2 linked regions of the Astyanax mexicanus genome follow. The main gene of each other region encodes a partner of the protein of the gene in region 2 in a complex. Links are inferred from orthologs where the notes say so. Each region holds a gene or a part of one and is shown on either strand. Other genes may lie near its edges.

Region 1 (11,720 bases), on a different chromosome or scaffold from region 2:
TCATCCATCTTCCTCTTGATTATATTCCAGAGGTTTTTAATTTGGTAAAATCAAAGAAAATCATAATTTTTTAGAGCTGTATTTATTTCTACTTCATGCATTTAAAAGACTGATTCTTATTACAACTCAGTAAACGTGTGGTAATTTCAGCACAGGCTTGTCCAGGAATTGTTTCACACATAAAGAGAGTTGGACAGAATGTGTGGTATTATTACTGGCTCCACCTTAAAACCTTCTCATACCAGAATGTTTCCAAGGAAACTGGTTCCAAACATAGATTCAGACCAACACGATCAGATTCTGAGCCTGTAATACTGTAATATATCTGAAATATAGAGTTATACAGTTTGCAATTTCTTTACTGGACATTATTCCTATGGTCATACACATTTAAAAACAGTCACTTTGTAATCAGATATGATTTTCGTCTGACTATAAGCAGGGTTCATACTGACTTTTGCATGCCTTCAAGGCAAAAATCAACTAAAAACTAAAAAAAATAACCAAAAATCAACTATTACTATAATCAAAATTGATTACAGTTAATTTATAAAAAAAATCCTTTCTATAAGCAATGCTGACACAATCTCCAATAATAAAATGTGTGTCACATCTTGATGGCTCCATTGAGTAGGGCTTAATTACTGAACTAACTCTAATCTGATGTATTTGTAAGCATAAAATAGCTTTTCTTTGTCGATAGATCAAAAATAAAATTAAAAACATATAAAAGGCTCGTAGATTGCAAATTTCCCCTTAATTTTCTAAAACTTTCTGGGTTAATTTTATTTTTCCAAAACTTATTCAGGCATGGAAATTGCGATTTTGAATATTCATGACTTCCATGACTTTTCCAGGTTTTTCATGACTGTATGAACCCTGATTATGCTTTAGCAGATCTCTGTGCGACACTTTTGTGAAGTTGTCAGACATTCCCCAGCAGCCTGACAACAATCCTGGATAAACAGTCAAACAAAAAATCCAGTATTCAAGAAGTAAAAACAGGGAAACCCCTTCAGAAAACACACGGCTACAAGCTGGGCCTCCTGAGCTGTTGCTACACCAAAAAAATATAAAATCTGATTCAGCATGATGGAATGAATAGAAGACCTTGTTGGTTTGTTTGTCCAAGAAGGGCGTGCTCTGTCTCCATAACCACCAAATTCTGAACACACGGCTGCTTGTTCACTCATGTCGGGCCAAGAAAATTGGATGATTCGCTCAACGGGACAACAGGAATACTGAGTCCGAAATTCTACAGTTTTTCTGAGCTTTCTCTGAGCTTTCTCTGAAATACTGGCCTACTCCAGATACGTTCATTTTTTACTGTAAAAGCGTTTTACCGTTACATCCTTCCCCTTAGGTAACGCCATCTGTTTTGCATACGCAAGCTCTGTTCCATTCCAGCTTCCTGGAATTCAGGTGAACACAGGCTACAGTAAAACTTCCACTTCCAGCTTTCCTCACATGACTGCTGTTTTCCACTGCTGCAATCAGCCTGCAAGCTGCCAAACTGAGCGAATCACTCAAAATCTCACATTCGTTGCTCATAGTGAGGTAACGTTGCTTGGAGAGTGGCTTATAAATAGCATAATAGTCTGAAAAGTGAAAGTGCCTACAGACCGAATGAGAAGAAACCTGAGAAGAACCTATAGAATACCTATATTTTCTGCTCACACTGAGTCAAGGTTGGTTGGAGAGTGGCTTATACATAGCATGATAGTCTAAAAAGTGGAAGTGCCTCCAGACAGAGTGAGAAGAAACCTGAGAAGAACCTATTCAGAGTTCCTCTCTGTAATGGTCATACATGCTGGAAGTGCTAGGTTTAGCACACACGTGTGAAAATTAAACATAACTAGGACTTTTAAACGGGTAGAATGCCTATATTTTCCGCTCATACTGAGTTACCGGTGGTTGGGGGAGTGGCTTATACATAGCATGATAATCTAAAAAGTGAAAGTGCCTCCAGACAGAGTGAGAAGAAACCTGAGAAGGAACCTATTCAGAGCTCCTCTGTAATGGTCATACATGCTGGAGGTGCTAGGTTTAGCACACACGTGTGAAAATGAAACTTGATTATTAAGAGTTTTAAAAGTATTTAAAGGTCTTTGTTGGTAAAGGTGGTTAAAAGGCTGGTCATCCAAATGGTTTTTGATCTGTAGGTTGCATTTTATTTTGGTCTTCCTGGTCAACCGGCGTGTTTGGTCATACTTGTTCAAACACATGGGTGGGTAGCTGATAAACAAATAAGAACATATACTAATATATTGTATACAATGTATACTGTATAATATAGCTTAGCAGCTACAACGCTAAATATTGTGAGGACAGATGAAATCTTCCTGTTTATTTAGGATATGTTTGGAGACTGATTTGTGTCACAGCCACAGTGTGAAGAAGAAGAGGAAGGAGTAAAAAGAAAAGCAGTAAAAGAAGAAGAAGAAGAAGAAGAAGAAGAAGAAGGTTTGAACAAAAAAGAAGAAAAGAACAAGGAAAAGGAAGAAAGAAGGAAAGGAGAAGAGAGAAAGGAAGATGTAGAAGAAGTAGAAGAAGAAGAATAAGAAGAATGAAAAGATGGAAAAGAAAAAGAAGGTTTGAACAAAAAGAATGAAAAGAAGCAAGAGAACAAGGAAAAGGAGGAATAGAAGGAGAAGAAAAAAGAGAAAGAAGAAAAATAAGGAGAAGTATAAGTAATAGTAAGATGACGAAGAAGAAGACGAAGAATGAATGAATGAAAAGAAAAAGAAGGTTTGAACAAAAAGAACGGAAGGAAGCAAGAGAAGAAGGAAAAGAAGGAATAGAAGGAGAAGAAAAAGAGAAAGAAGAGAAATAAGAAGTATAAGTAATAGTAAGAAGAAGACGAAGAAGCAGAAGAATGAAGGAATAATTGAATGAACTAAAAATTGAATGAATGAATGAATGAATGAATGAGAAGAAAAAAAAAGGTTTGAAGAAAAAGAAGGTTTGAACAAAAAGAATGAAAAGAAGCTAGAGAAGGAAAAGGAAGAAAAGAAGGAGAGGAAGGAAAAGAAGAAGACTAAGAATAAGAATAATAAGAAGAAGAAAACAAAAAGAAGGAAAATAACAAAAAGAAGGAAATGAATGAAAAGAAGGAGAAGAAAAAAACAAGGTTTGAACAAAAAGAAGGAAAAGAAACAAAGAGAAAGAGAATAAGGAAAAGAAGAAGGAGAAAAATGGGAAGAATAGGAAAAGTAAAAAAGGGAAAGAAGGGGAAAAAGGAGAAGAAAATGGAGAGAAGGAGGAGAAGCTGTGAGTGACTCACTGAGACCTTTACTCTCCTTAGTTCACATGATCAAGGGCAAACCCTCGTAATTGCCTGATCTGTCTCCAGCAGTTCTCCACGGAGTTCCGTGAGCAGCTTTATCCAGCTGCTGGGGGCTTTACGGCCACGTTGCAGTACAGTATCAGCTGTAGCTCTGCGGCTGCTGCTGCTGTAACCGAGGTTAGCTAGCTAATTTAACCAGGTAAATTCAGGTAGAGACATAAACCTGACCTGCGCGAGATCTGCCTTCAGAGCCCAGAGCAGTTTATTACAACATGTGTGAGAAAGCAGCAGCCAGCCCTGCGCAGTATTACATAATTCACTACATTCACTACTACCACCAGAGAGGCAACTTGGCTGGGCTGTTAAAAATGAAAATAAATAAAAAAACACACAGAAAACACACCTACGCTTTTCTTTGGAGCTACGTACACAAGATACACAAGTCACGAAGGATCCTGCGTGTCTGAAATCAAGTGTTTTAACTGGATAACTGGTTAAATAAAGAGACACAAAAATAAACTATTCAGTGGGCATTCAGTTCACACACTCATGCTCAGGCTGATGTGTAGGCAGGCAATATCCTGACTAAAACCAGGAAACGACGTTAGAAAAAAAACAGAACCCATGTTCTGTCGAGTTGTGCTACGTTGTCAAAACGTGCTTCCCTAGTGTAGCTATATTTAAGGCAAAATATAAGAATAGATAAGGAAAAAATACGAAAAAGCACCATATAAGAGCTTGTTCTCTACCTTCTGTACGTGCTATGTGCCATTTTTGGATAGTCTAAATCTTAATTAGCTAAGATTTAAATAATTTTATTTAAAAAAGTGTAGGTCAGCGCATGCGCATTGCCCGTAGGAAGCACGTACCGATGGGTAGCACAACTCGACACAACACCGCGTTTAGAAACTCTCAGAAAAAAAGATAGATTTAACTAGATGTCTATTCAACCTTTATAGTTATTTATCTCACGTAAACAATATACGTTAGCTAAAGAAAGCTGGTTACTCCGTCGCTAGGATACTCATAAAAAGCATAAAGGCTTTAAGAAAAGTAACGTTAATTAGCCAACCTACGACGTTCAAAGCAAAATCTGTAACGTTAAAGTTTTCTGTAACGTTAAAACACAAAATGTCTAAATCCCTGTTGAATTCATATTAATGTTAACAGAATAAGGTTAGTAGTAAAGCTCAGAACAACTTGGCACAGTAAAGCACAGTAAAGCACTGTGCCCCCCCACCCCCTTGTGCCCACCGCACTAACGTTAACAAACCTAACGTTAACGTTAATCTGTAATAACTAGCGAGATTAGATCGCTACCTCAGCTGCGGCCCGCACGTTGAGTAGCTGTGTCGGTAGTTAGTTAGTTGAGTGGTTGTAAGGTTAGCTGTGTCGGTGGTGTTGGTAGTGGTGGGTTGTTTTTAACGTTGGATAGACGGCGCTTTGAATGCGGAACAGCGCGCGTAGCGGCTCGCTGCTGTTTTTTCTCACCTCTGAAAGATGTTCCAGAGAAAGGCCTGGTCCGGCGGCGCCTGGTTGTAGTGCGGGGGTCTGTACTGGTTGTGATAAGCCATTTCTCCTCTAATCGAAGCGGAAAATAAAGGCAGCAGCAGCGCGAGGCGTAGTCCTTCAACTTCAGCCTCAATCTGACTCTGACATTCTCCGCGCAGAGGCGGGGCCTCCGCGGAAAACTCGCCGCTTCGAATAAAAAATGCAGTGACGCAGCGCCTGCACCGCGCTAATTGGTCCCGCGGCACCTCCCAGCCTCCTGATTGGGCAGCGCGCAGACTTTGTGCTAAAGGGGCGGAGCCGCAGCGCTGAACCACTCTGACCGGCCGCTGGAAAATATGAATAGTCTTTGTGGAGTAACTCTCACATTATATCATTATATCACATTACAGCCTGTTTTCTACTGTTTTCTACAGATATTAGATAGTTCTATCCGTTTGGAAAAGATTGTAACTAAGACCATATGTAACTAAAATACGAGATAACTAAATGTTAGTATTTCTTCCTATTTGAACTCTATATAGATATCAATCTATCTTGAGATAGCAGCTTATATATATATATATATATATATATATATATATATATATATATATATATATATATATATATATATATATATATATATATATATTCATTGCGTTTTCTTAATTATTTTAATGACTATTTACATTGTAGATTCTCACTGAAGCATCAAAACTATGAATGAACACATGTGGAGTTTTATGTACTTAACCAAAAAATGAGCTGAACCTCCACAGTCACCGGACCTGAACCCAATCCAGATGGTTTGGGGTGGGCTGGAGCACAGAGTGAAGAAGGCAAAGGAGCAACATGTGCTAATAAACACCTCTGGGAACTCCTTCCTTCCTTCAAGACTCATGGAAAACTTTTCATTTCAGGTGACCACCTCTTGAAGCTCATTGATATAATGATGCCAGGAGTGTGTAAAGCAGTAATCAGAGCAAAGGGGGCTATTTTGAAGAAACTAATATATAATATGTGGTCCAAAATTCCAGCTGAGAGGCGTAAGAAGCTTGTTGATGGTTAAAAGAAGCAAAGTATTTTGGTTGGTATATTTATGTTTATAACTAAGTTGTGTGTAGTTTACACATATTTGTGTCTGTATAGTGTAAATATATCCTCTGTGCTGTGTTGAACATTTGCTATTAACTGTGAAATGTCTTAATAAAGAATCTAGCTGCTTATCTGTTTTTCTGTCTGTCTGGTTGTAATATAAAACAATAATGAAAAAATTAAAAGAAACTTAAATTATCCAATTAAAATCCATATTTTTGGGAGTTCCACAGCAACATGAACAGAAATCAGTGTGATTGGTTGTCCAGTGCGTGCTGAGTGCTGATTGGATAAACAGACATGAGAAGATTTTTAAATATTAGCTAGCTAGTTAACTAGCTATCAGAAACCGCCAGATCAAGTTAAAAAAATAAATATACATTTTAATTAGCTAATTTACAGCATAAGGGTAATATATTTATTAGTTAAATATTTATTTAATAGACTTTGTGATCAACAAACCAGTAGTATATGGTGCTAGGTTACACTAGTTAAGTTAGCTAACAAGATAAATCAGTTGCTGCTGAGGTAAATTCTAGCTAAGCTAACAATCTAGTTGACATGTTTTACTACCCTAACGTTCTTCAGCGCCACACTGGCTGTTTCTCTACAATCTGGTAAGATTTACATTTTGATAAATAATAGTGAGAAGAAAAATTATATATTTATAAATTTAAATATAATAAAAAAGGACTTTTATACATTTGACATAGCTAGTGCTAAATAACTAGGTTAGCTAGTTGGCTAACTGCAGGAGCACAGTATAACCTTACCATATAATTTACCTTCAGTATTTTACACAGTTGTCATTTTCCCTAATATAGGAGACTTTTACAGCATAAGGGATATTACAGTTAAATATTTATTAAATAGAATTCATCAATCTAGATAGGCAAGCTAAGTTACTAAAATAAATCAGTCACCACTGAGGTAATTTTTAGCTAAGCTAACTAGCTAAGCTAACTAGCTAAGCTAACGCTAGCTAAAGTAAATTTACATATTTTCCTAGTCACCATAAGTCTGTAAGTCTGTAAGTATAATGAAAATTAAATCTTTATACATTTGGCATAGCTAGTGCGAACTAACTAGCTAGCTAACTGCTGGAGCACAATATACCAAATACCTTCAGTATTCCACACAGTTAATATAAATCAGTCACAGTTGAGGTCATTTTTAGCTAAGCTATAAGCTAATGCTAGCTGAAGTAAGTTGACATTTTAATACCCAAAGGTCACAGGTTATTTTGATAAATAAACATATATTTAAAAATGTAAAATAAAAATGACTTTTTTATACATTTAACATAGCTAGTGCTAATGCTAAACATCTAGCTACCTAAGCTGTAGGAGCATGTTAACTATGTTATTATAGTCTAACCTGACTGACCAAATTACTTAAAATAAAAATAAAAATAACCTAATAATGTAGCTAGGTTAGTCAGTGTAAATGATTTATCACAGATGAAATTATAATGTCTGTTATTACTCTTACCACTAACAGGTTGGCAGCCACTAAAGGTATCAAGATAACAAGAAGAGAGTTCCTCAAGGTCAACATTGGAAGAACATGGTACAGAATCCTCAGAATTAGTATCAATATACTCTGATAATCAACAGGTGGTTTATAGGCATGTGAATCATAGGTGATATATAAAACGCTGGAAACCTTCATAGCTAACCAATGTGTCTCCAAATGGTTTTAAATATAGTAGGATGAGTAGAGGTGGGACAAAATATCAATATTGTGATATATTGTATGGTTTTAGTTTTGTGATACTTTATTTATATGTGAAAATAGTAGAAATTTGGGTGCCTATTTGTTGATTTTACAGTTTCTTCTATTCCTAAGCCATACAATATATAGTGTCAGAAATATATTTCTCATATATTCAGAAACCTGTGTGTTTATCAATTAGTCAGATAATTTGTCTAGTGAGAGTGTAGTCTGGTTTTGGCCTTTAAGCGTAATGTCAACCATTCTTCACTGTTCCCTGCACGATTTACATGATGTATTATTGAGTGCAATCAAAGTAAGTGAATGTTAATTGCACTTACTTAACCTCTATTAAAGTAGCTGATTTATTTGTCTGTAGGCTTTGATTTGAGAGGCTGTATCAGTCACATTGGTTGGCTGTGATCACACTGTAGTGCACCAGAAATCTTTTAAATACATTTTTGTTTGTTAGGGATGTGAAAAGTCACAAGAGGTAAAATCTCTAGAAGAAGTCATTTTCAGTCAATTCAATATTAGCTAGTTCTTTTATGTTGCATCAATTAGTCAATCATAAATTTAACGTGAAATTACCAGCTGTTTTAAGGTGGCCTTTTTGAGTATGTGTGTAATTGTGTGTGTGTGTGTGTGTGTGTGTATGTGTGTGCAGTGAGGACATAATTGACTATGTGAAAGTCCAGGTTCCACCTATTCATCCCAGCCTGCCACGCCCACGATTCTCTCTATATCTCTCCTGTCAGCTGCAGTATGGGGTGATACTTGTCTACCACCGACAGTGTGGGTTCCTGCTGGGTAAGATTTTTAATTTTACCAAATTGAAAACCTCTAGAATATAATCAAGAGGAAGATGGATAATCTCAAGCCATCAAACCACCAAACTGAACTGCTTGAATTTTTGCACCAAGAGTAAAGCAGCATAAAGTTATCCAAAAGCAGTGTGTAAGACTGGTGGAGGAGAACATGATGACAAGATGCATGAAAACTGTGATTAAAAACCAGGGTTATTTCACCAAATACTGATTTTTGAACTCTTTTTGAATATGAACTTGTTTTCTTTTCATTATTAATCCTACCAAACACCCTCTCCTCTTCATATATATATGAACTGAAACAATAAATATACAGAATTTTATTTTATTCATGCTTTTCAAGCTATTCAACCTGTGAAAATCCTACACATACTGTTTATAGGCAGATTTAGAGTGAATTTGTAAATGCAACAACATGGCGATGCATGATGTAACGCAGTACAGCCACCTCCTGTTTGTGCTGCTGTCCGCCCTCTATATCTTAGAAAAACACAATAGTAGGTGGCATGCAGATGTATGTGAGGAGGTGGAGGGTAGTAGGTGATAAGATGAGGAAGTGATATTTAGCAATGCCCACAAATAAGCCTCACAAAATTAGAAAGACAACATAAAGTCCATAATGTAAAATATAAATCATATAAATCAAAGCGCCTTCTCACTACCAATGTAGACAGATCATCAAAATTAAAAAAACTTTACACAACAGTACTTCAGACATCATATGACATAGACATAATATAGAGATTGTATTTGTATAGGGTTATATCTCAGAAGCCTCAAAAACAGTTTTGTTCTGCTTGCCTCTTTGTAAATTCAATATTAATATTTGATTGTAATGTTTGTTTACATGATCCATCCAAAGAGGAGGTCCAGCAGGCCATCAGACATTTGCTGCGCTCAGAGAGACACTCAAAGATCGACATGCAGGAGCCGGACAGGTCAGACTCAACAAGCTCTCTGTCAAATCACCTTTTATTGATCTTGATTGACCTTGATAGACTGATTTATACTACTATTCTTGAATGGCTTGGTTTAAAAGACATTACATTACATTGCATTTAGCAGACAATTTTATCCAAAGGGACACAAAAAATGAGGTACTTTAGCAATAAACGACATAAAAGTCCAAGGCAATTCATTTTTTAGGCATGGCCTAAGGGCAAAAATGTGATAGAGGAAGAAATGAGGAGGGGGAGCAGGAATGAGGTTAAAAGTTAAGTTAGTTAGTTTGTTAGAGGTGTTAGGAGAGTATGTGGCCTTTGTAGAGCTCTGTCTTTTGGAAACCTTGTAGGCAATTGTAAGGACTTTAATCTATAAGAATTTAATCTATAACATTATGTGGCAACTACTGAAAACTCTTGTGACTTGCAGGCTGGGTCTGAACCTCCCAGACTCGCTGTTCCTGTTAGAGGAGGCAGAGGGAGCTCTGGCACCATTCTTTGGGAAAATGGGGGACGAGTGTGAGATGCCCAGTCCCTACCAGCTGCCACAGGTTGGGAAACTTGCAGCGGTGCTGAAAATTGCAGTTATTCCCCACATGATTCACAAAGTGAAACACCAGAATAATGCTCAAATCATATTCAAGCTGAACAGTCTTGTTCTGTCCATATTGTAGGTGCAACATTATGACTAGAAAACTTTAAATAATGATGTCAGTGTTGAATTGTATACACAGATCTGCCTTACCTGTGCTACCACAACAGATCTGATATTTCAGTACATCTGTCCGTGGTGATAATGTTATGGCTGATCGTTGTATAATATCCTTATTGTGATCTTAGACCCTGTATGGATTTACTGTTCACTTTTAGGCTGGTCTGTTTATAATGGCTTCATCTCCAGAATGCCCTCTAAAGCTGACTAAGGAAGACACACCTGGTTTAGGTAAGAAATAAACATTTAAAAAGTTGAATTGAGAAAGCCAACTTACTCTTCATTATTCTATTTACTGAATTTCCCAAAAAATCCTTTACTCTTTACATAGAATTTTGAAGGGTGATCGCACCTATAACCTAACTATTTTCTTTTTTCATACAATAAATGTTTTTACCCATAGGATTCCATTCAAAAGTGTCTTTAAGCTATAAATAATAAAAACAGTTATACAGGTTACTTTTTAAATCCAGAACCACACAATTCTATATACAAATAGAACCAGTTTCAGGCAATGTACCTCTCAAACCATTACAATCAGGTAAAGTATTAGCAATTCACCATTTAGTCGAAAGCTTCTGGAATTTCTCAATTGAGCCAAACATTTTTGAACTTTAGCATTTAACCAGACGTTTTTGGGCAAAGCCCTGATGACCGAAAGTATTAGTATTGGTTCTTTTCTAATTTATCTAGTGTTGCTTTGTATCTGTCTCTCTCACTCTTCTTGTGTGTTTGATGTACAGTAAGCACATTATCATTACCTTGCTAAAACATAATCTTCCATTTCTTAAGGCCACATAGCCTCTCCTGAAACAATTACCATCAGAGATAAGGAACCGGTGCCTATCCTCACTGCTGAGGTAAGATTTAGTAAACTCTTACTTAAGCCCTATCCGGATGGGATTAGTTTCTCAGGGGGTTCTGGGGTAATTTCCTCTTTTATGGGGGGAACGATCATGTAGGTGTTTTTCTCAGACTGTTTTTCTCTGAACTCCGTGCTCCTCCGGTAATTTTAGTCCTGTCCGGACGCACATCTCTGAGTTTCGTCTCCTCGCCTTTAATAAAATAGCTATTTGTTCACTGCCACGCACCGTAATTACACTTTGGGCGCCCCACGGTTTCCACGGAGATCCACGTTAAAAACACAACAGCGAGTGGATATGGAGGAGCTACTGAACACCGCGATGTCATGTGACTGAGAAAAAAAATATTTTACCCAGACGTCCCCCTAAGAGACTAATCCCGTCCAGGTGTGGCTTTAATGTTGGTTTTCATTTCTTCAGTAAGAAATGAAAATGTAAAAGTTACAATAACAGAAAAGACGTATAGTATAAACCTGGCATTAGTCCAGATTTCTGGTCTTCTTTTCCATAAAATTCCCTCGCTTTGGAGAGCAAGTTGAGTAAACAGCTAATCATGAGATCTCTTTTTGCCCATAATATTAATATATAATAATATATTAATAATAGTCTGCCTACATTAGTTCCCACGTTACTCTGAGTCATGGCCACAATCTAGTTGAGAAATAGTATAGTCATAATAGTCTGTATATGACCTTTTCTCACCCACATGCATCACTGGCTCTTGATTTCTATCGTCTTCTTTCCCTTAATACTTAGTTTGGAGGGGCAGAGCTACCTGAGGCCACAGCCTAC
Region 2 (11,030 bases):
CCAGTCTTGGTGCTGGAGAACTAAACTGAAGCTCCTGTATAACACTGTACTTCAGTGGAGTGACTTTACTGCCCCTCACAACCTGACGGGTAAATTTCATACATAAGGTGCACCGGATTTTAAGGCACACTCACAGTTTTAGGAAAGTATTTAGGAAAGGAAGTATTTTAAGTGCACCTAATAGTGCAAAAAAATACAGATATAAGAGTCAAACTGCTTGTAACACTGATCCAAGCATTTCTACATTCTACATTTCTACTGTGCACAAGTAAAAAAAAAACAAAAACAAGATTTTTTAATTTAAAGTAGCAGTACATAGGAATTAGTATTAATGTGTCCCATTTAGGACGCATTAATACTGTGGATGCTTTTAATGAAAAAGAAAAAAATAAGAATTGCTGCTTTAAAAAAATATAGTTGAGATATTGTGACTTAGACTAAAGTTCCGACCTAGAAACAACTCAACAAGAAATACAACAAATGACCAGAGGGAATAAGTGAGGCTCAGTGAGGCTTCAATAATCAATAAATTGCAGGCATATTCCAGTGCAAATCTCTTTTTATCCTTATTAACACTGCAGCAACTCACCAGTCACTCCCATTCAAGACCCTGACTTTTTTCAGACAGATTTAATTCAGTCTAATTTAGTTTTGCTATTCCAATTATGTTTCACTATAAGAACATTACATAGTTTAGATTCAGTAAAAATCTATTTCACACACAGGTTATCAGTAGATACACAAATAAAAGGCTACAGTGAAACTAGATTGAAACAAATCCATCAGCACTAGACACTGGATCGACAATAAGACAACAGCAGGTCATTGGTAATAGAAAAAAGAAAGACCTTTGAGGTGAGGAGAAAGCACCACACGACTTCATGGCCAAACTGGGCTCGGCCAGGTCCAGTTCAAAGATCTCCAGGGAGGCATTGGTGCTAAAGGTAGCATCGAGCTGTTGAGCAGACGTGCCTGAGCAGGAGCAGATGAGAACAGCAGGTGAGAAACATTTGGTTGCATACAAATGGACATTAGAGAGGCAAATGGCTTTAGCAAACACTGGTAAAACACAGAGTTTACCATTATTTATCTGCTGAACCCATCTGGGATCTGAGGGTACTGTGATTAATTAGGTAAATCACAATGATTATGTTGCAACAAGCAGAATATTGTAGCTGTGCACTGCAAAACATATCTCCATAACAGCAATTTTACAGGAGAGAGATAAAACCTTCTTAGCTTTCAATGGAAGTCAATGTAAAAAAAAATGTATTTCAGATAATCTAGAGAATTTGTATTGGTCAATTCATTGCGAAAATGCCACATTGTAAGGGAAAGTTGTGTGTTAATTATATAGTAAACTAAAAATCAACAGAAATGTAGATACTTGTTTTTCTTTGGACAGAGACATAATCACTCGTTCTGCTAGCATCCATATGCACAACTTTAGCATAAGCTAGTTACATAAAAACATAGTTTCCTAGGTAGCTTAATAAATCAAACAACAAAAATCTGAAACCCATTAAATACAGTATGTTAATGCATTCAGTGAGTTTTGCACCTACCAAATACTAGCTACATTAGACGTCTATTTTACTGGGTGAAAATGCTAATGCATAATGATAGTAGATGTATTTCTGCCTTTCTGCCTTCGGTTATAGAGACCTTGCTCACTAAACTGTATTTTAAAACACTGATTTGTAAGACAGCATTGGCAAATTGGTAAATATAGTGCTGTCTTAAGCTGAATCTGAATACTTGAAATGTGCTATTCAAATGATGATAGCTAAACATTTTGCTATAGAACTGATTAGCAATTAGCAATTGCAATACTACAGCTCAGCTGGTATAGAGGCAATCGTGACTGGAAAAATTGGTTGTGGCCAAAATATGTAAACAAAAAAAGCAGTGTAGAGATGTATATTTTAGCTTAAACAAGGCAGCTAAGGCTAAACCTGTTAGCTAGTAGAACAATTGTTTTTGTTTACATGTTAAGATGTACTTGACTCTACAAATAAGGCAAGGTATCTATACAGTATTCTAGGCAACACAGATACTGTACATACCGTACATATTGTTATGTTAGTATAACAAAGGATGAACTGCTATCACTGGTAACTAGGCAGCAAAGAGACAACTAATACATTTGCTAAACTCCAAAAGCAACGTTTGTTACTTCAGACCTGCAGTTTAGTAGCTGGATAAAATGTACAATACCACCACTAATGGAAAAGCCAATTAAATTATTAATCATAATTATTCATGCAACAAATAACTTCTTCTGAATATTTTATGGCCTACACTGCAGACCTTTGTGACTTGTGGAAAAATACTATACATGTACCCCAATACAGAAGATTATTGCCTTCCCAAAACAGTCACATACAAGTCTTCAGCTCAGAAACTACAGTGTATATGAGTTACCTGCTGCCAAGTAAATGGGGTGGTGCTGTGCCGGGCTCCAAGCCTGTATGGCAGTGCGGTTTATCTCTTTCAGCTTCATCCTACAACCACAACAATCACAGAAGTGTTATCAACTGACACTGTGAGGTTAAAATCCGTTAACGCAAACAGCCTGCTGATGGATATCACAGTACTACTAGAAAAGGCTTTATAATTATACGTACGTGTAATTCATTGAAGGAGAATGTTACCAAAGGAATGGTGTAAAGCTCTGTGGAAAGGGCCTGTTAAGTCAGAACTTTTGAGTCACCAACTGTGTTGGTGGTAAGAGAGGTCTGGAAAAGCAGTCTGAACCAGACATCTTAATAGTTTTATACTTCTAACAGGGCCACAAACAATCAATAGTAATATTTGCAGTCAGATTTTAGTTTTTGTACTGAAATCTCAAAATCTCTTGTTTTACATCTCAATTCCTTCATTCCAACCTTGCTCATAGGACCATAACCTAAACTTAAATCACATTAAGTTAGGTAAAATAGATAGGAATATGATTTCTGATACCTGAAACATTGTTTTCACATAGTTCAAAAAATTGGCATAATATTTTTGTTTTCATTCATTTATGGAAAGGTAGTACAAGGTAGGGGGTTATTAAGCAAGATAAAGATATTATATATTACATATTTTTCTAGTTTGCCACTAATTCACCATTGTAAACATTACATATTAAAGGACACATATGTCCACTGTTTGTGCTGGATATTTTTTCCAAGTTCATTCAGATTTTTTTTTTTTTTTTTTTACACTTTTGCCTGTATACCTGAAATCCATTTTAAGGTAATACTCTCATTCTGTTTATACATCCAACTCTATCCATATTGGCCCCCATTCCTCATTGCAGAAATCATGCAGCCCTATTTTCAAAGCATCACATATGATGCCTATTACCTGATAAACTGTTTTACCGTAGTTTTGAAGTTGTATTTGAGATCTCAGTTTTCTTTAAGATTTTTGGCCTAAAATATATTTTATAATTCAATAAAGGTAAGGCAGTGCATGTAAGGTGTTATACAGAAGATTAAAGACAGATTTTTATTTTAACACTATTTTAGCACTGTAAACATAAAAACAAAATTAAGGACAGACAAATTCACTGGTTATGTTTGAAAGCAACTATAAAGACAGAAATAAAACTTTATTGCCTAGTCCTAGTCCCCATTATCCAGAATTCTTTAAAGTAAAATATATTTTACTTCAAAGTTCAAATCACTCTAAATTATTATAAATCCCCTTTAACAAGCTGTTCCTGAGCTGAACTGGTGTGTTTGAACAGGGGAAAAAAACGTAATAACATGCAAGGAATCCCAATCCCAGTCATGGTGATCTGCTGCCTTGAGGGGTTTAAACTCCAATCCTAATCTAGCCCAGCTAATCTTGTTATTGAAGACCTTCTGGAGCATCTGAAGCCATGGAGGCATGTTGGAACTATAATCTGACTAGAACTAGACTTAGAATATAACCCTGCATTACAACGCAGGGGTACTATTAGCTACAGTTCCACTATGGTGAACCATTTACTTAGCTTTACAATTGGTGGATCAGTCAGGTAGGCCCAAACTACAGTGCTAAAGAATTCATAACACAGGTCCAGCATTCCTATGAGTGCATGAACACGTTTTGGTGACAGACTGGATTACGAATGCTCTGATGGAGCAGACCAAACTTTAGGAAGAAGGTGAAATGTTAGCTAGCTATAGAGCCTGGCCCTAGATTATCAAAGTGGTGCCTAAAAAACACTGATGATTACGTGGCCTATGGATTGCCCCAGCTCAGATTGTACAATCTGGGGTAAAACAGAAGAGATTTCAGCAGATGAATAGCAAATTCTGGCAACTATGATCAGCTGTTACAACATCTTAACTAGCTAGTTAAGGTTATGATTGATCAGTCCTACTAAGACATGATTAAACAACATAACTAACTAAACATACTCATGTTGAATTAAAGTGAGAGCAGTTTCTGAGCCCCAACCATTGAAACCCTTTAAATTACCCTGGATTCAATGTCAATTTCAAAATTTCTGCATTTCACAGCATGCCGGCTACAGTATGGTGCTATGTTAAACTAAGGTTAATTTTAATCATCAACTTTAAAATATGTATCAAATGCAATCAAACAATAAGCTAACGTTTATTCAAATGTTCTTTGCTATCATGGGTAAACAAATCAAATGAATTAAACTAGCACACATTTAAGGTTAGCTAGAATCGTTAGTTAGGCAACAATAGCACAGTATTAAAGACATAGGCTATAACGCAAAGTAGCTAGTTTAGAAGGCTGTACAGGATGCTGAAAAAAAAAACATTAGCTAGCTAGAATTAAGTCTAAATTAACCAATCCTAGGTTAGATAACAGAACTTCCTACTAGGCTGCAGCATACAAGCTAAATAATCCAGATGTTAATAAACAGTATGCCTATGATGCTATGTTAAAATTGTTTTGCTATAAATCAACATTAAACTATGTATCTAATGTAAACAAACAATTAGCTAACGTTTATTCAATGTTCTTTGCTATCATGGGTAAACAAATCAAATGAATTGAGCTAGTGCAGATTTAAGGTTAGCTAGGACAGTGTGGCAACAATCAAAAGCACAGTATTAAAGACATATAAAGCAAAGTAGCTAGTTTAGATAGATGTACAGAATGTTGGAAATAATAATGAGTTAATCTTGATGATTAATATTAGGTCTAGGTAACTAAATTAGTTAGTTAGTTAGGTACTAAGGCTGCAGCTTAACTGACCTAGCTAAACAAGGCAGCTACTGCAGCCCAGAGCACAAAAACACACTATTACTGCCTCACTGACTCCTTTATAACAACCCAATCTGCTTCTCAACAATATTTAGAGTAGTATTAATATTAAATAAGTCTTCCTGGCTACATAACACAGCCCTAACTGTACTGTAGCTAACAGCTAAAGATAGCTTCAGCTAACAGAGCTTCTAAATCTCCCCCAACACTCCAAAAAGTGCTTACCTTCCCTCTGGTCGCTGCTCACAGGCATGCACAGCTCATCCACGCGGTCTGAACAGGGTAAAACTTTAATCAGCGGCTCAGAAATCCTTTTTCTCGGGTTAGTAAACTGTGTGCAGAGAGTCAGCGGCTGGCCCGGTTACACATAGGAACAGTTCCACGTCCCCACTGGCCTCCTCCATCAACGTGGCACAATACTGCCCTCCCCCAGAACAGCACTTCCGCTCAGCCAGCCAGTCAGCGCAGGCGGGCGCGTCCCAATTCTTCCCTACCCCCTATTTAGTGCACGTACTGTACTAGTGCACGTCTCTCTAGATGACTACGTGACCGACTGGGAGCCTGTGTTCTTCTAAATATATATATATATATTTTTTTTTGTGTGTACATAAACATACATTAATAGTACTGGGTAATATATATATATATATATATATATATATATATATATATATATATATATATATATATATATATATATATATGTGTGTGTGTGTGTACATTTGGAGTTTATCACCATCTATAATATGTCAACACCAGTGATGTCAGTAACGCGTTACTCTAATCTGACTCTTTTTTCAGTAACGAGTAATCTAACGCGTTACTATTTCCAATGCAGTAATCAGATTAAAGTTACTTATCCAAGTCACTGTGCGTTACTCTCTCTCTCTCTCCACCCTCACACACACTCACACACACACACACACAAACACACACACCACGTTCCCTTCCCCATCCCCCTCCGCTCTCCCCCAATCACACGCGTCTCGCTTTCTCCCCTGTCTCTCTCTCTCGCGCTCGGCGTGTCTTTAGTTTCCGCCCATTCTCGTTTTTTCGCCAGTTCTCGGGCTCCCTATCTCTTTATAAAGGCGGTTTTTCCCGGCCGCGTCCCAATTCACTAGCCAGCGCAGCGGTCTGCACAGATCTGATTGGCAGAGGAGAGCGTTTGAAGATTTTACACCACACGTGATTGGTCTGCAAGTTTCCCGTGCCGCAGAGCGCATACCATAAAGACAAGAAAAGTTCTGACGCTTTAAATGAACACTGTCAGAATTAAATCCTTCTCAGTAGTTTATCGGTTTGGCTCCGCATTGGACAACATCTAGGTCCGGACCCGGACCGCAGTCTGCATATATGTGATCCCTGGCCTCGACCATATACACGGTTCTGTTTTATAATACCACTCCTTGCTGCCCTGCAGAGAACAACAGGTTCAATGTTCAGTTTTACAGTGTTAAATATGTCAGGTCAAGAAAGACTTTCAATATTTTATATTTTTTTATAAAAACAAGTATTTAAGTTAAGTGAAATCAAGAAAGACCATATTTTATTTTTTATAAAAAAAAATATTTATGTTAAGTTAATTCAAGAGAAATGGTCTTTTAATTTTATAAAAATAAATAGTTCAACTTTAAATGTCTAGAGATACATTGATGCTGTTAAAAATGCTTTTTTTTCCAGTAAAGGGAGTATTGGCAAAACTGGTTATAATTTTTAAGTTAAGGCGACGGGACGTGGTGTGTGCAGCTGCTTAAAGTAACTAATAAAGTAACTTGTAAAGTAACTTAGTTACTTTTAAAATCAAGTAATCCATAAAGTAACTAAGCTTTTTTTAAGGAGTAATCAGTAATCAGTAATCGGATTACTTTTTCAAAGTAACTATACCATCACTCATGGCTGGATTACTGACCGGGCCAGTGGGGCCAGCGCCCAGGGGCCCTTGAGGTCAGGGGGCCCCAGGGGGACCCTGGCCGAAAACTTTTTGCGATGCCTATCAACATTTATGGTACAATGTATTTTTATTCCCGAGGGCCCTCCATTTTAAGGATCCTCTGACTATTAGGGATTTGACCCCATAGCCTCTTGGGGGCCCTAGCCATGCTTTTGGGGGCCCTAGCCATGCTTTTGGGCCCCTTAGGAAAATGGATGAGGCGTTGTGGCACTGCTCTGACTTCGACTTCTGGCTATTAGGGGTCCTAGGAAAGAGGGGGGCATATTTTTAGAGGGCCCTGGTTATGAGAGCCCCTACCAGGGGGCCCTAGAGAAGAGCAGAGCATACCATTAGAGGGCCCTTGATCACGAGGGCCCCTGCTATGGGGCCCTTGACTTCCATAGAAGTCGTTTACCATGGCTCCTTGACTTTTTAGGGAACTACAAATTCAGGCCCTTACTTAATGTTTCTGAATTTGTATTGTTTCAAACTTATTATGTTCACTTTCTCTTAAGCGCAGAGACACAAATTAATTTAGCAATTTTGCAATTATTTAAATTTAAGACAAAATTGCTTGTCTGATGAATGCTATCTTTGACACCGATTAAATTGACTGAATTTGGCCAAGGGTGTGATTTCACTTATGTGAAAACAACAAGCCATTTGACTAGTTTCATGTTTCCCCTTTAATAAACAACAGTAAAGAGACCAGTGGTCACTCTAGTTCTGAAGGAATGCATGAAAGGAAAAGTGCCTTTTCATACAACAGAACTGCAAGCTAATTTTACTGAGTAGCACAATTTTGGTTTGGTGATGATGAAACAGCAAGTGGTTTTGTTGTAGTAGCTGTGGCTGCGTATGCGTGTAACCCTGATATTTTGTTTGAGGATTATTTATTGGAAAACATATTTTATTCAGCTTGTTATTCAATGACTATTCAATGACAGTTTGACATGACTTGACATGTTTCAAGGCAGTGTGAAGGGGTCTTGACAATAATTAAACTTGATTTAATCTCATTAACACAGCATTTTTAATATACTTAAAACCTTCCCCCTGTGTCCCTCTCCATGCCTCTCTCTCTCTCTCACACACACACACACACACAAAACAGCATTTTTGTAGTAGACTATCTACTACAAAAATGCTGTTTTGTGTGTGTGTGTGTGTGTGTGAGAGAGAGAGAGAGAGAGAGAGAGAGAGAGGGGCAAGGCTGCCCCTCCCCCACCCTCTCACTCAGTGGTGAAAAATTGTTACATTGCCCTAAATTCCCACGGGGGCTGAGCCAATCAGGTGTTGCGAGAACTTCCAAGTGAATATGCAAGATCTATATAAAACCCCCTGCCAGTATCAAAACTCCTCACATTCAGACAGTTCAGCTTGCAAACTTGGTCTGTGCTTTTACTACAACTTTTACTTTGCTATTACCTGATCAGCAACCAACAGCCTTTTTAAAGGCTCATTGCCCTTTATACTGCATTATATTATTTTATAATATATATAAATATTTTTATATTATATTATACTATACTATATTGCATATATTCTGTTACATTATTTTCATAGTCTTTTCAAAGGCTTATATATTATATTATATTATATTACATGATATAATATTACATTACTATATTTACTATATTAAACTTTGAAAGGTTCACAGCCTTTTTCAAGGCTAGTGTAACGTTGCTAACTAGCAACTCACAGCTTTTTTAAAAGCTTATTGTTATTTGCATATTACATTATTGATAATAGTAGAAGTGTAAGCTTTATAATAGTACATACATACAATACATTTACAATAACAACAATTTATAGCTAAATAGTTATAGGTCAGCCTTTTTTTATTACATATTGTATCTGGTTCTACAATTTTGTGATTGTATTTTTTTCCTGAACATACAGCATAGAAACAACATAGTAAGTATTGGATAGGAATAGGAATTTGCAAGACAAGCTTCTATATTTGCATCTTAAGAAACACTTGCCATTAATAACATGGATCCCAAACACAAAAGTGGTGCCTCAAAAAGAAAAGCAAAAAAGATTAAGGAAGCAAATCAGGCAGATTTCCTGAAAAGCGTACCTTTGATCTCAAACTTCTTTGAGAAACCGCTCAATATGAGTGAGACAAGTATTGCTAATGTTAGCAGTGATCAGAGTTCTAGCAATGAAGATGTGATCCCCACTGGCTTAGTGTCACCTGTCAGTGACTATGTACCTTTGCAGACCCAGTCAGGTGCAGAGCAGGAATGCCAGCCCTGGCAGGCTACCACAGACCAGCAGCAGAAAGACCATGAAAGGAAAGTTGCAGGTGTGTCAGACCCACAATCAGACCAGCCAGCTGCATCGTGTGAGTGTCGTTTTTCAAATGAGGAGGGCAAGGACCCCAACTCCTGGTGTGAAACGGTCAACGACCCTGCTTTATGGCCCAGTACCATTACCGACCAAGCCAAGTCGATTCTTGTTAGTAGAGGAGAAACTGCATTTCAAAACAGAAGTGCTAAGTACCCAGCCTCAGTCAGGGATAGAGGCATTGGGGGTACCAGTAGGAGCTTTACAAATGCTCTACTCAGTTGCTCTCTACCCAATGGGCAAACTGTGACTAGGCAGTGGCTACTTTACTCTCCTTCAACTGGCTGTGTGTATTGTTTTGCTTGCAAACTGTTTTCCAGTAAGCACAATACTTTTGTTCATGGATTTTCTGACTGGAAACATTCAGAGCGGATTGGTGAGTGACGTATATTTGAGCATACACAGTTGTAAACACATGGGATATTCACCATATTCACCATTATCATATATATTTTCCACACAGAATGGCCACTGGACCACAGGGAACAGATGGAGTAAGCCCTAACTTAAACACATTTGTTTTTTTTAAGCATAGGCTAGTATGGGGGAGCACTTCTTTCCCCTCCCATGCATTGCGTCAAACTAACTTGTGTATGTTCTATGTATGTGCGCTATAGGAGCGTATGTTAAGTGTTTCCAGCTGTGAGGTGTTTTTAAACATAAAGGCTGGACTTCAGCAATTCCAGCCAGAGAGAGCTTGGGATCAGATTTGGGAACCTCTCTCCAAGCAAAACCGGTTTGCTTGTTAATGATGCTGTTATCTTTTGTACTAATTATTCTTTTTTCTGTAATAAATTTTCTTATATACAAAGAACAGTATCAGCAAAGACTTATTTCATGCATCTACATGGCATCACAGCTCAAGATTCTACAGAAAATGGCACCCCAGATGGGACTCTCGTTGTGGCCTGTGCTTTCATACTGCTTCAGTGCTTCCACCACTGCTACAGCCGGCAAAGGAAGGTAAGCATTTTTCACATGTGCGCTGGTGGAAGTGGTGAAGTGTGTGTGTGGCTGTTTGGGTCGCAGAGGAAAAGCCTGCTCCATGCGTGGCTGTCATGCTGTGTAGATGTATGGGATAATGCTTTGTTCTAAATTGGGGTAAAAGTATTTTAACTAGAAGGGGTACAACTGCAGTAATTAAGTAAAAGAGAAAGAGTTAAAGGAAAAAGTGAAGAATAAAGAGAAGAGTAAAAAAGAGAAATAGGAATGACGTCAAAAGAAGAAGAAGGAAAAAAAAATACAGTAACTAGTAACAAGTATTGTACGGCATGCGTGAAATATAGTCTTCAGGGCGGCGTAAGACTATACGTGATTTTCTATAAGACGTGTCCCCAAACCCGGCTTTAGCGTGCATTATCTATGTGAAAGTTGACTGAAAAAGGTATTTATGTGTTTTTAAGAAGAAGAAGAAGAAGAAGAGATTAAAACGCATGCGAAAGAGGAAAAAGTGTGAAAAGGCCTTAAAAGAGAATAAAGGAAAAAAGGATTAAAAGAAAAAGAAATAGAGAGGAATACTGCAGTGACAGCA

The links. The genes of interacting proteins can lie anywhere in the genome.
Region 1: the proteins of sec31a (region 2) and pdcd6 are in contact, whole or in part, in a crystal structure (PDB 3WXA), measured with the Homo sapiens proteins. The link is inferred for Astyanax mexicanus from reciprocal best matches to the Homo sapiens genes SEC31A and PDCD6. Residues at the interface, in NP_001070675.1 of Homo sapiens: Asn837, Pro838, Pro839, Pro840, Pro841, Gly842, Phe843, Ile844, Met845; in NP_037364.1 of Homo sapiens: Val31, Val35, Leu48, Ala51, Leu52, Ser53, Asn54, Gly55, Thr56, Trp57, Phe85, Trp89, Ile92, Gln96, Phe99, Phe148.

Annotation. Positions count from the first base shown.
Region 1 is NC_064413.1:885,979-897,698, forward strand, and holds the start of pdcd6 (programmed cell death protein 6), read right to left. Parts: upstream 5,119-11,720; 5' UTR 4,861-5,118; coding exon 4,778-4,860; intron 1-4,777. Other genes in the region: rec8b (REC8 meiotic recombination protein b), read left to right, coding at 6,434-6,489, 7,373-7,441, 8,253-8,395, 9,275-9,350, 9,784-9,904, 10,224-10,296, 10,858-10,925, 11,685-11,720. UniProt on the Homo sapiens protein: Calcium sensor that plays a key role in processes such as endoplasmic reticulum (ER)-Golgi vesicular transport, endosomal biogenesis or membrane repair.
Region 2 is NC_064427.1:26,909,631-26,920,660, forward strand, and holds the start of sec31a (protein transport protein Sec31A), read right to left. Parts: upstream 5,644-11,030; 5' UTR 5,443-5,643; intron 2,505-5,442; 5' UTR 2,504-2,504; coding exon 2,425-2,503; intron 973-2,424; coding exon 849-972; intron 1-848. UniProt on the Homo sapiens protein: Component of the coat protein complex II (COPII) which promotes the formation of transport vesicles from the endoplasmic reticulum (ER).